Xenopus tropicalis: one gene and its partner. The protein of the gene in region 2 interacts with the protein of the main gene of each other region in a pairwise test. Links are inferred from orthologs where the notes say so. Each region holds a gene or a part of one and is shown on either strand. Other genes may lie near its edges. The genes, in order: pdzd11 and plekha5.

The links.
Region 1: the proteins of plekha5 (region 2) and pdzd11 interact in binary tests that used the Homo sapiens proteins (3 or more experiments, as listed by UniProt). The two-hybrid records come from large-scale screens. The link is inferred for Xenopus tropicalis from reciprocal best matches to the Homo sapiens genes PLEKHA5 and PDZD11.

What each region holds. Positions count from the first base shown.
Region 1 is NC_030684.2:38,884,094-38,888,611, reverse strand, and holds the start of pdzd11 (PDZ domain-containing protein 11), read left to right. Parts: upstream 1-1,404; 5' UTR 1,405-1,452; coding exon 1,453-1,545; intron 1,546-4,311; coding exon 4,312-4,395; intron 4,396-4,504; coding exon 4,505-4,518. UniProt on the Homo sapiens protein: Mediates docking of ADAM10 to zonula adherens by interacting with PLEKHA7 which is required for PLEKHA7 to interact with the ADAM10-binding protein TSPAN33.
Region 2 is NC_030679.2:663,914-668,220, reverse strand, and holds the start of plekha5 (pleckstrin homology domain-containing family A member 5), read right to left. Parts: upstream 2,829-4,307; 5' UTR 2,748-2,828; coding exon 2,665-2,747; intron 1-2,664.

The DNA of each region.
Region 1 (4,518 bases), on a different chromosome or scaffold from region 2:
ACACTAGAAAGCAAAACCCTGCCTCATAGAGCTTACAATCTAATACAGGGATCCCCAACCTTTTATACCTGTAAGCCACATTCAAATGTAGAAAGTGTTGGAGGGCAACACAAGCATGAAAAAAGGTTCATGGGGGTAACAAGAAGACCTATAATTGGCTACTTAATAGCCCCTATGTGGACTGGCAGCCTACAGAAGGCTCAGTTTAGCATTATACTTGGTTTTTATGCCTCCAAAACTTGCCTCATTATCAGAAATTAAAAAATGAGCACCTGCTTTGAGGCCTCTGGGAGCAACATCCAAGGGGTTGGGGAACAACATGTTGCTCACGAGCCACTGGTTGGGGATCACTGATCTAATACAACCACAGATGGAGAGCTTCTTGCTACCCTCACCATGTATATGGATTCTTCCACCTCCCCCAGCCTCAAATACACACAATTATAAACCAGTATTTGGTGGAATCCCAGCACTTTCTGCACTACTCCGATCCGGCCAGATTTTGGATGCAGCATTCAGCCACATTTACTGCGAAGCGGTTTTGCACATTACAAGTTCCCTACACTGCCCATTAATAGAAAGTGAGAATAAAAGGCAACACAATTCCTTTGGCCCCCAAGTCCACCTTCCCCCCTGCACAATGTAGTGGTAGATTCCTAGGGACCTATAAGACTTTCATTTATTAGCAATCAGTATTAAGGCACATAAAGGAGGAAGAGTATAGATTGATAGAATCAGCTTTATTTACAGAAGGTTGCAGGGAACCCTGCTACATAGACTGAATTCTAGAATGGAAGACATGGAAAGAAAGATGCCACTGCAGTCTAGCTGAGCTGATCGCCAGTCTAGGTGTCACTGAACTACAGCTCCCATCACACCGTGTAAGAGCTCAGCAGCTAACGGAGCAGCAGGCTGTAAGCCCCAGCTGATGAATGACAAAGTAACAGACGGTGCGCCTTGTATCATTCATATTGCCCTCAGCTCACTGCCAGGGAGTCGCTCCATGGCTACCCCAGGCGGCTTTTCGCAGAAGACGCAAACGTTGAAAAAAGCGAAAATGGGCGTGTCTGTATCAGACCAGTCATGGGAATGAGCTGCCGCCGTGACGGAGAAATACAGAATAAGCCAATACTTACACAGCCGTACCGCGCCCCGTTCGCTCCACAGCCCCATGAAGCTCATTCCCAGCGCACAGAGTTTGGCTCCTTGTTAACGTCACTAGCAATTCGAACCTAGCGCCTTCCCTAGTGCGCATGCGCAAACTTCCCATTTCCGGGAAGGATTATGACTAGCGGCTGAACTGAAAACGAGGCTACCATTCATTTTGGAACGCAAGCTTAAATTAAATCTAAATAGCTTATTGGGCATGCGTCTTTGCCGACATGTTTATTGAGGGCAGCGGTGGAAAGATAACCTGCTGATACCGGAAAAACTTCGTACTCTATGTTAGGAATGGAAGGCCGCCCCAATTATGATGAATACCCATATCCAGTGGTCTTTCTGCCTCCTTACGAGAATCCACCAGCATGGATCCCCCCGCAGGAGGTAATCTTACTGCTCACTTTACGGTCACAAGCTTGATATATGCTGCAGTGTTGCTGAACTACGTTCGGTGTTTATTTCAGGGAAAAAACACTATGCAAGAGAATGCAATTCTAACCAGTTTTCCAATATACATTATTTATACATGTTCATTGAGATAAAGTTATTTGTAAATATAATTGCTACTAATAAGCAATGTCTGTCTGGCTGTTTATAGTTATTGTTCTGACTCATGATACTGTATGGCAGAAGCTAGCGAATTAACAGCTGTTTTCTGGAACATTGTTTTAGGCTAATGTCCCACGGAGAGATTAGTCGCTGCCATTTTTAAAAAGCGAGTTACAGCTACAAGTCGATCGCTTTGTCTCTACATAGAGAAGAATAGAAATCGCCAGTTATAATCCACTTCGAATCGCTTTATTGAGTGATTTGACAAAGAAAACATTGTCATTCAAAACTATTGGAATTGCTAAAGGTAAAACCTACTGAGCAGGAAGTCGCTGCGATTTCCCCATTGCACTGAATGTAATTTCTAATTGTGGGCGGGTAAAATGACACCTGGATTTGTGGGAAATAGAATCGCTCTGTTGTTGAAATCTCTAGTAATCGGTTGTTAGGAAAAGACAAGCAGCTTGTCGCTGGAACTCGCTTTTTAAAAATCGCAGCCACTAAATCTCCCCATGGGACATTAGCATTAGTCAGAACCAGTGAAGAGAAAGGAATAAACATTTACTTTTTCATCAGCAATAACCTTTACAAAGAATGTTAGAACCACAGAAATTTTAAATGAATGTATATTGGAAAGTTGCTTGGAAATATATTTTCTTTGTGAGTGCATAGAGCCAATCAGTTGTGCTGTGCAGAATTGTGGGCTGTGGAATTGTGAGTCAGGCAATCAGTAGATTCTGGCAAATGCCAGAGGGGCTGCTGTAAGATGCTATAGGCCAGTGATCCCCAACCAGTGGCTCGTGAGCAACATGTTGCTCCCCAACCCCTTGGATGTTGCTCCCAGTGGCCTCAAAGCAGCTGCTTATTTTTGAATTACTGACTTGGGGGCAAGTTTTGGTCGCATAAAGCCCAATGTAAAGCCAAACAGAGCCTCCTGTAGGCTGCCAGTCCACATAGGGGCTACCAAATAGCCAATAAGAGTCCTTATTTGCACCCCCAGGAAATTTTTCCATGCTTGTGTTGCTCCCCAACACTTTTTCCATTTGAATGTGGCTCACGGGTAAAAAAGGTTGGGGATCCCTGCCATAGGCAGTCACTGTTTATTGCAGTTGTCCCCAACCAGTGGCTCGTGAGCAATATGTGACACATTGGGCTACTAAATAACCAATTACGGCTTTTATTAGCCTTTATTAGTCACCCCGAGTGTCTTTTTTTCATGCCTGTGTTGCTCTCCGACTTTTTTTCTATTTAAATGTTGCTCATGGGTAAAAAAGGTTGGGGAAAATCGATCATTCCAAGAAAATGGAAATCTATAGACCCCCCACTATTCACAGAATGGCTAACCAACACAGAGGATATTAGGCAAATGGAGGAAATAACCTTCATGATACACAATAAAAGTCACCACTATAGGAAAATATGGACCCCCTGGATAGACTATCTAAGATCACTATAAAACATCATCAAAAAACAGCCATCTACATAGGGCACTCTAGAAGTAAGATTTACAAGTTATAGACAATTGAATACTTACTGGAAAATGTAGACATGACTTGATGACGGCTTGCCTGAAAATGAAACTGTACAACAATGTAAAGACTAACATTTGCAATGTTCCCCTCCCTACCCCTCCCTTTTTTCCTTATGTACCCCCTCCCCATATTTACAAAATGATAAATAAAGAATTTAAAAAAAAAAAAAAAGGTTGGGGACCCCTGGTTTAATGGGTTAGTGAGAGAGTTTTGGCCTCAGTCTTGACCTGTTCTGAGCAATGAAAGGGTCACCAGTTGCAGCTGTTAAATAAATGTTATAATCTTGCAGGCACTGTTAGCAACCATACCTGTGTATTTATACGGTGAAACTTTGTAAGAGTAATATGACATTAGGCATAAGAATGGCTACCCAGCACAGTACAGTGAGGTGTTCTGGATTATATCTGCCTTTTTAGCCTTGTTTACAATACAGAGTGGTGTTTACTATAAATAGATCTGTTCATGTACAATAATCAGATGTAAAATAATAACTTTTTACAACTCATTCTAAAGGTGGCCATACACGCACCGATAATATCGTACGAAACCTCGTTTCTTACGATATTCGGTACGTGTATGGTATGTCGGCGAGTTGACCGATATCGCAGGAAGCTGCTGATATCGGCCGACTCGCCGATCGAACCAGTTTGAAAATTTTGATTGGGCGCCATAGAAGGCGCCTGACCAAAATCTCCCTTCAGAGCTGAATCGGCAGAAGGAGGTAGAAATCCTATTGTTTCTACCTCCTTACCTGCCGATTCAGCCCTGAATGGTGTGTGGCGGATCTGACGATGTTTTGTGCGACCGATGTATGGCCAGCTTAAGTCTTCAGTGCATTTGGCATGTTCAGCCCTCAAAAAGGCTTATTCATTAAACTGCACTGCAACCTCAGGGAACTGTAAAATGAATTGCAGATATCCTTATCATTTACTAATGTGGCACCAGGGAGTTTCACTCTGCTTTATTACAGGATTATGTCAAACAGGAGCAACAGTTGTAGTAGAATTAAAAGGTCCTTGCTTTCAAGTGATTGTTGGGATCATTTTTTTTTTCTTGTTTTTACTCACAGAGAGTTTATAACCCAGATTACAATAATGAACTGACAAATTTTCTCCCTCGGACGATTCTTTTGAAGAAGCCACCTGGAGCACAGGTAAGCAACTTATTTAAGGGGAAAAGGTAAACAGTAGATTTGAATAGAATAAAATCATCATAAACTACTTATTGGTTGTATATGGGTTATTTCTTTGTATTCTCTGCAGCTGGGGTTTAATAT
Region 2 (4,307 bases):
CTGGGGCAAAGGGAGTAGATAGGGGTGAGTGGGGCACAGGGAGTAGATAGGGGTGAGTGTGACTCAGGTGAGTGGGGCACAGGGAGTAGATAGGGGTGAGTGGGGCACAGGGAGTAGATAGGGGTGAGTGGGGCACAGGGAGTAGATGGGGTGAGTGGGGCACAGGGAGTAGATAGGGGTGAGTGGGGCACAGGGAGTAGATAGGGGTGAGTGGGGCACAGGGAGTAGATAGGGGTGAGTGTGACTCAGGTGAGTGGGGCACAGGGAGTAGATAGGGGTGAGTGGGGCACAGGGAGTAGATAGGGGTGAGTGGGGCACAGGGAGTAGATAGGGGTGAGTGTGACTCAGGTGAGTGGGGCACAGGGAGTAGATAGGGGGTGAGTGGGGCACAGGGAGTAGATAGGGGTGAGTGGGGCACAGGGAGTAGATAGGGGTGAGTGGGACACAGGGAGTAGATAGGGGTGAGTGGGGCACAGGGAGTAGATAGGGGTGAGTGGGCACAGGGAGTAGATAGGGGTGAGTGGGGCACAGGGAGTAGATGGGGGTGAGTGGGGCACAGGGAGTAGATAGGGGTGAGTGGGGCACAGGGAGTAGATAGGGGTGAGTGGGGCACAGGGAGTAGATAGGGGTGAGTGGGGCACAGGGAGTAGATAGGGGTGAGTGGGGCACAGGGAGTAGATAGGGGTGAGTGGGGCACAGGGAGTAGATAGGGGTGAGTGGGGCACAGGGAGTAGATAGGGGTGAGTGGGACACAGGGAGTAGATAGGGGTGAGTGGGGCACAGGGAGTAGATGGGGGTGAGTGGGGCACAGGGAGTAGATAGGGGTGAGTGGGACACAGGGAGTAGATAGGGGTGAGTGGGGCACAGGAGTAGATAGGGGTGAGTGGGGCACAGGGAGTAGATGGGGGTGAGTGGGGCACAGGGAGTAGATAGGGGTGAGTGGGGCACAGGGAGTAGATAGGGGTGAGTGGGGCACAGGGAGTAGATAGGGGTGAGTGGGGCACAGGGAGTAGATAGGGGTGAGTGGGGCACAGGGAGTAGATGGGGGTGAGTGGGGCACAGGGAGTAGATGGGGTGAGTGGGGCACAGGGAGTAGATGGGGTGGTGGGGCACAGGGAGTAGATAGGGGTGAGTGGGACAGGGAGTAGATGGAGTGAGTGGGGCACAGGGAGTAGATAGGGGTGAGTGGGACACAGGGAGTAGATAGGGTTGAGTGGGGCACAGGGAGTAGATAGGGGTGAGTGGGTACACAGGGGAGTAGATAGAGTGAGTGGGGCACAGGGAGTAGATAGGGGTGAGTGGGACACAGGGAGTAGATAGGGGTGAGTGGGGCACAGGGAGTAGATAGGGGTGAGTGGGACACAGGGAGTAGATAGGAGTGAGTGGGGCACAGGGAGTAGATAGGGGTGAGTGGGACACAGGGAGTAGATAGGGGTGAGTGGGGCAAGGGAGTAGATAGGGGTGAGTGGGACACAGGGAGTAGATAGGAGTGAGTGGGGCACAGGGAGTAGATAGGGGTGAGTGGGACACAGGGAGTAGATAGGAGTGAGTGGGGCACAGGGAGTAGATAGGGGTGAGTGGGGCTCAGGGAGTAGATAGGGGTGAGTGGGGCACAGGGAGTAGATAGGGGTGAGCGGGGCATAGGGGTGAGTGGGGCACAGGGAGTAGATAGGGGTGAGTGGGGCACAGGGAGTAGATAGGGGTGAGTGGGGCACAGGGAGTAGATAGGGGTGAGTGGGGCACAGGGAGTAGATAGGGGTGAGTGGGGCACAGGGAGTAGATAGGGGTGAGTGGGACACAGGGAGTAGATAGGGGTGAGTGGGGCACAGGGAGTAGATAGGGGTGAGTGGGGCACAGGGAGTAGATAGGGGTGAGTGGGGCACAGGGAGTAGATAGGGGTGAGTGGGGCACAGGGAGTAGATAGGGGTGAGTGGGGCACAGGGAGTAGATAGGGGTGAGTGGGGCACAGGGAGTAGATAGGGGTGAGTGGGGCACAGGGAGTAGATAGGGTGAGTGGGGCACAGGGAGTAGATAGGGGTAGAGTGGGGCACAGGGAGTAGATAGGGGTGAGTGGGGCACAGGGAGTAGATAGGGGTGAGTGGGGCACAGGGAGTAGATAGGGGTGAGTGGGACACAGGGAGTAGATAGGGGTGAGTGGGGCACAGGGAGTAGATAGGGGTGAGTGGGACACAGGGAGTAGATAGGGGTGAGTGGGGCCAGGAGTAGATAGGGGTGAGTGGGGCACAGGGAGTAGATAGGGGTGAGTGGGACACAGGGAGTAGATAGGGGTGAGTGGGGGGCAGCAGGAGAGTAGATAGGGGTGAGTGGGGCACAGGGAGTAGATAGGGGTGAGTGGGGCACAGGGAGTAGATAGGGGTGAGTGGGGCACAGGGAGTAGATAGGGGTGAGTGGGGCACAGGGAGTAGATAGGGGTGAGTGGGGCACAGGGAGTAGATAGGGGTGAGTGGGACACAGGGAGTAGATAGGGGTGAGTGGGGCACAGGGAGTAGATAGGGGTGAGTGGGACACAGGGAGTAGATAGGGGTGAGTGGGGCAGTGAGTGCAGGTGAGTGTGAGTCTCCCCCCCCGGTACCCCAGGCCCAGCCCGTGCCTCACACTCACACTCACACTCACACTCACACTCACACTCACACTCACACTTACTTGATAAAGAATACGCGGCCCCCCCGGGAGATGCCGAAGCGCCAGGAGCCCGGCAGGGAGGGGAGCCAGTCCGGGGCCGCCATTTGTGTCAGCAGCGGGAGCGCGCACCGGGCACTACTCTCCCTTCCACTCGCACTCTCGCCCCGCCCCCTCCCTGCGCGCTCACTGCAACCCAATCAGCTGCAGCCTACAGGGACGCGCACTGCCCAGCCCCGCCCCCTCCCCTAGGGTCCCGGATACTGAGAGAGAAGCGCTGTCTGAGGGGAGAGCGGCACTGACTGGGGGTACAGCCTTGTGAGAGACAGCTGGGGGCACTGACTGGGGGTACAGCCTTGTGAGAGACAGCTGGGGGGCACTGACTGGGGACAAGCCTTGTGAGAGACAGCTGGGGGCACTGACTGGGGGTACAGCCTTGTGAGAGACAGCTGGGGGCACTGACTGGGGGTACAGCCTTGTGAGAGACAGCTGGGGGCACTGACTGGGGTACAGCCTTGTGAGAGACAGCTGGGGGCACTGACTGGGTACAGCCTTGTGAGAGACAGCTGGGGGGCAACTGACTGGGGGTACAGCCTTGTGAGAGACAGCTGGGGGGGCACTGACTGGGGGTACAGCCTTGTGAGAGACAGCTGGGGGGCACTGAACTGGGGTACAGCCTTGTGAGAGACAGCTGGGGGCACTGACTGGGGGTACAGCCTTGTGAGAGACAGCTGGGGGGCACTGACTGGGGTACAGCCTTGTGAGAGACAGCTGGGGGCACTGACTGGGGGTACAGCCTTGTGAGAGACAGCTGGGGCACTGACTGGGGGTACAGCCTTGTGAGAGACAGCTGGGGGCACTGACTGGGGTACAGCCTTGTGAGAGACAGCTGGGGCACTGACTGGGGGTACAGCCTTGTGGAGACAGCTGGGGGGCACTGACTGGGGGAACAGCCTTGTGAGAGACAGCTGGGGGGCACTGACTGGGGGTACAGCCTTGTGAGAGACAGCTGGGGGGCACTGACTGGGGGTACAGCCTTGTGAGAGACAGCTGGGGCACTGACTGGGGGTACAGCCTTGTGAGAGACAGCTGGGGGGCACTGACTGGGGGTACAGCCTTGTGAGAGACAGCTGGGGGGCACTGACTGGGGTACAGCCTTGTGTGAGACAGCTGGGGGGCACTGACTGGGGTACAGCCTTGTGAGAGACAGCTGGGGGGCACTGACTGGGGGTACAGCCTTGTGAGAGACAGCTGGGGGGCACTGACTGGGGTACAGCCTTGTGAGAGACAGCTGGGGGCACTGACTGGGGTACAGCCTTGTGAGAGACAGCTGGGGGGCACTGACTGGGGGTACAGCCTTGTGAGAGACAGCTGGGGGGCACTGACTGGGGACAGCTTGTGAGAGACAGCTGGGGGCACTGACTGGGGTACAGCCTTGTGAGAGACAGCTGGGGGGCACTGACTGGGGGTAAGCCTTGTGAGAGACAGCTGGGGGGCACTGACTGGGGTAAAGCCTTGTGAGAGACAGCTGGGGGGCACTGAACTGGGGGTACAGCCTTGTGAGAGACAGCTGGGGGGCACTGCTTGGGGTACAGCCTTGTGAGAGAAGCAGCTGGGGCACTGACTGGGGGTACAGCCTTGTGAGAGACAGCTGGGGGGCACTGACT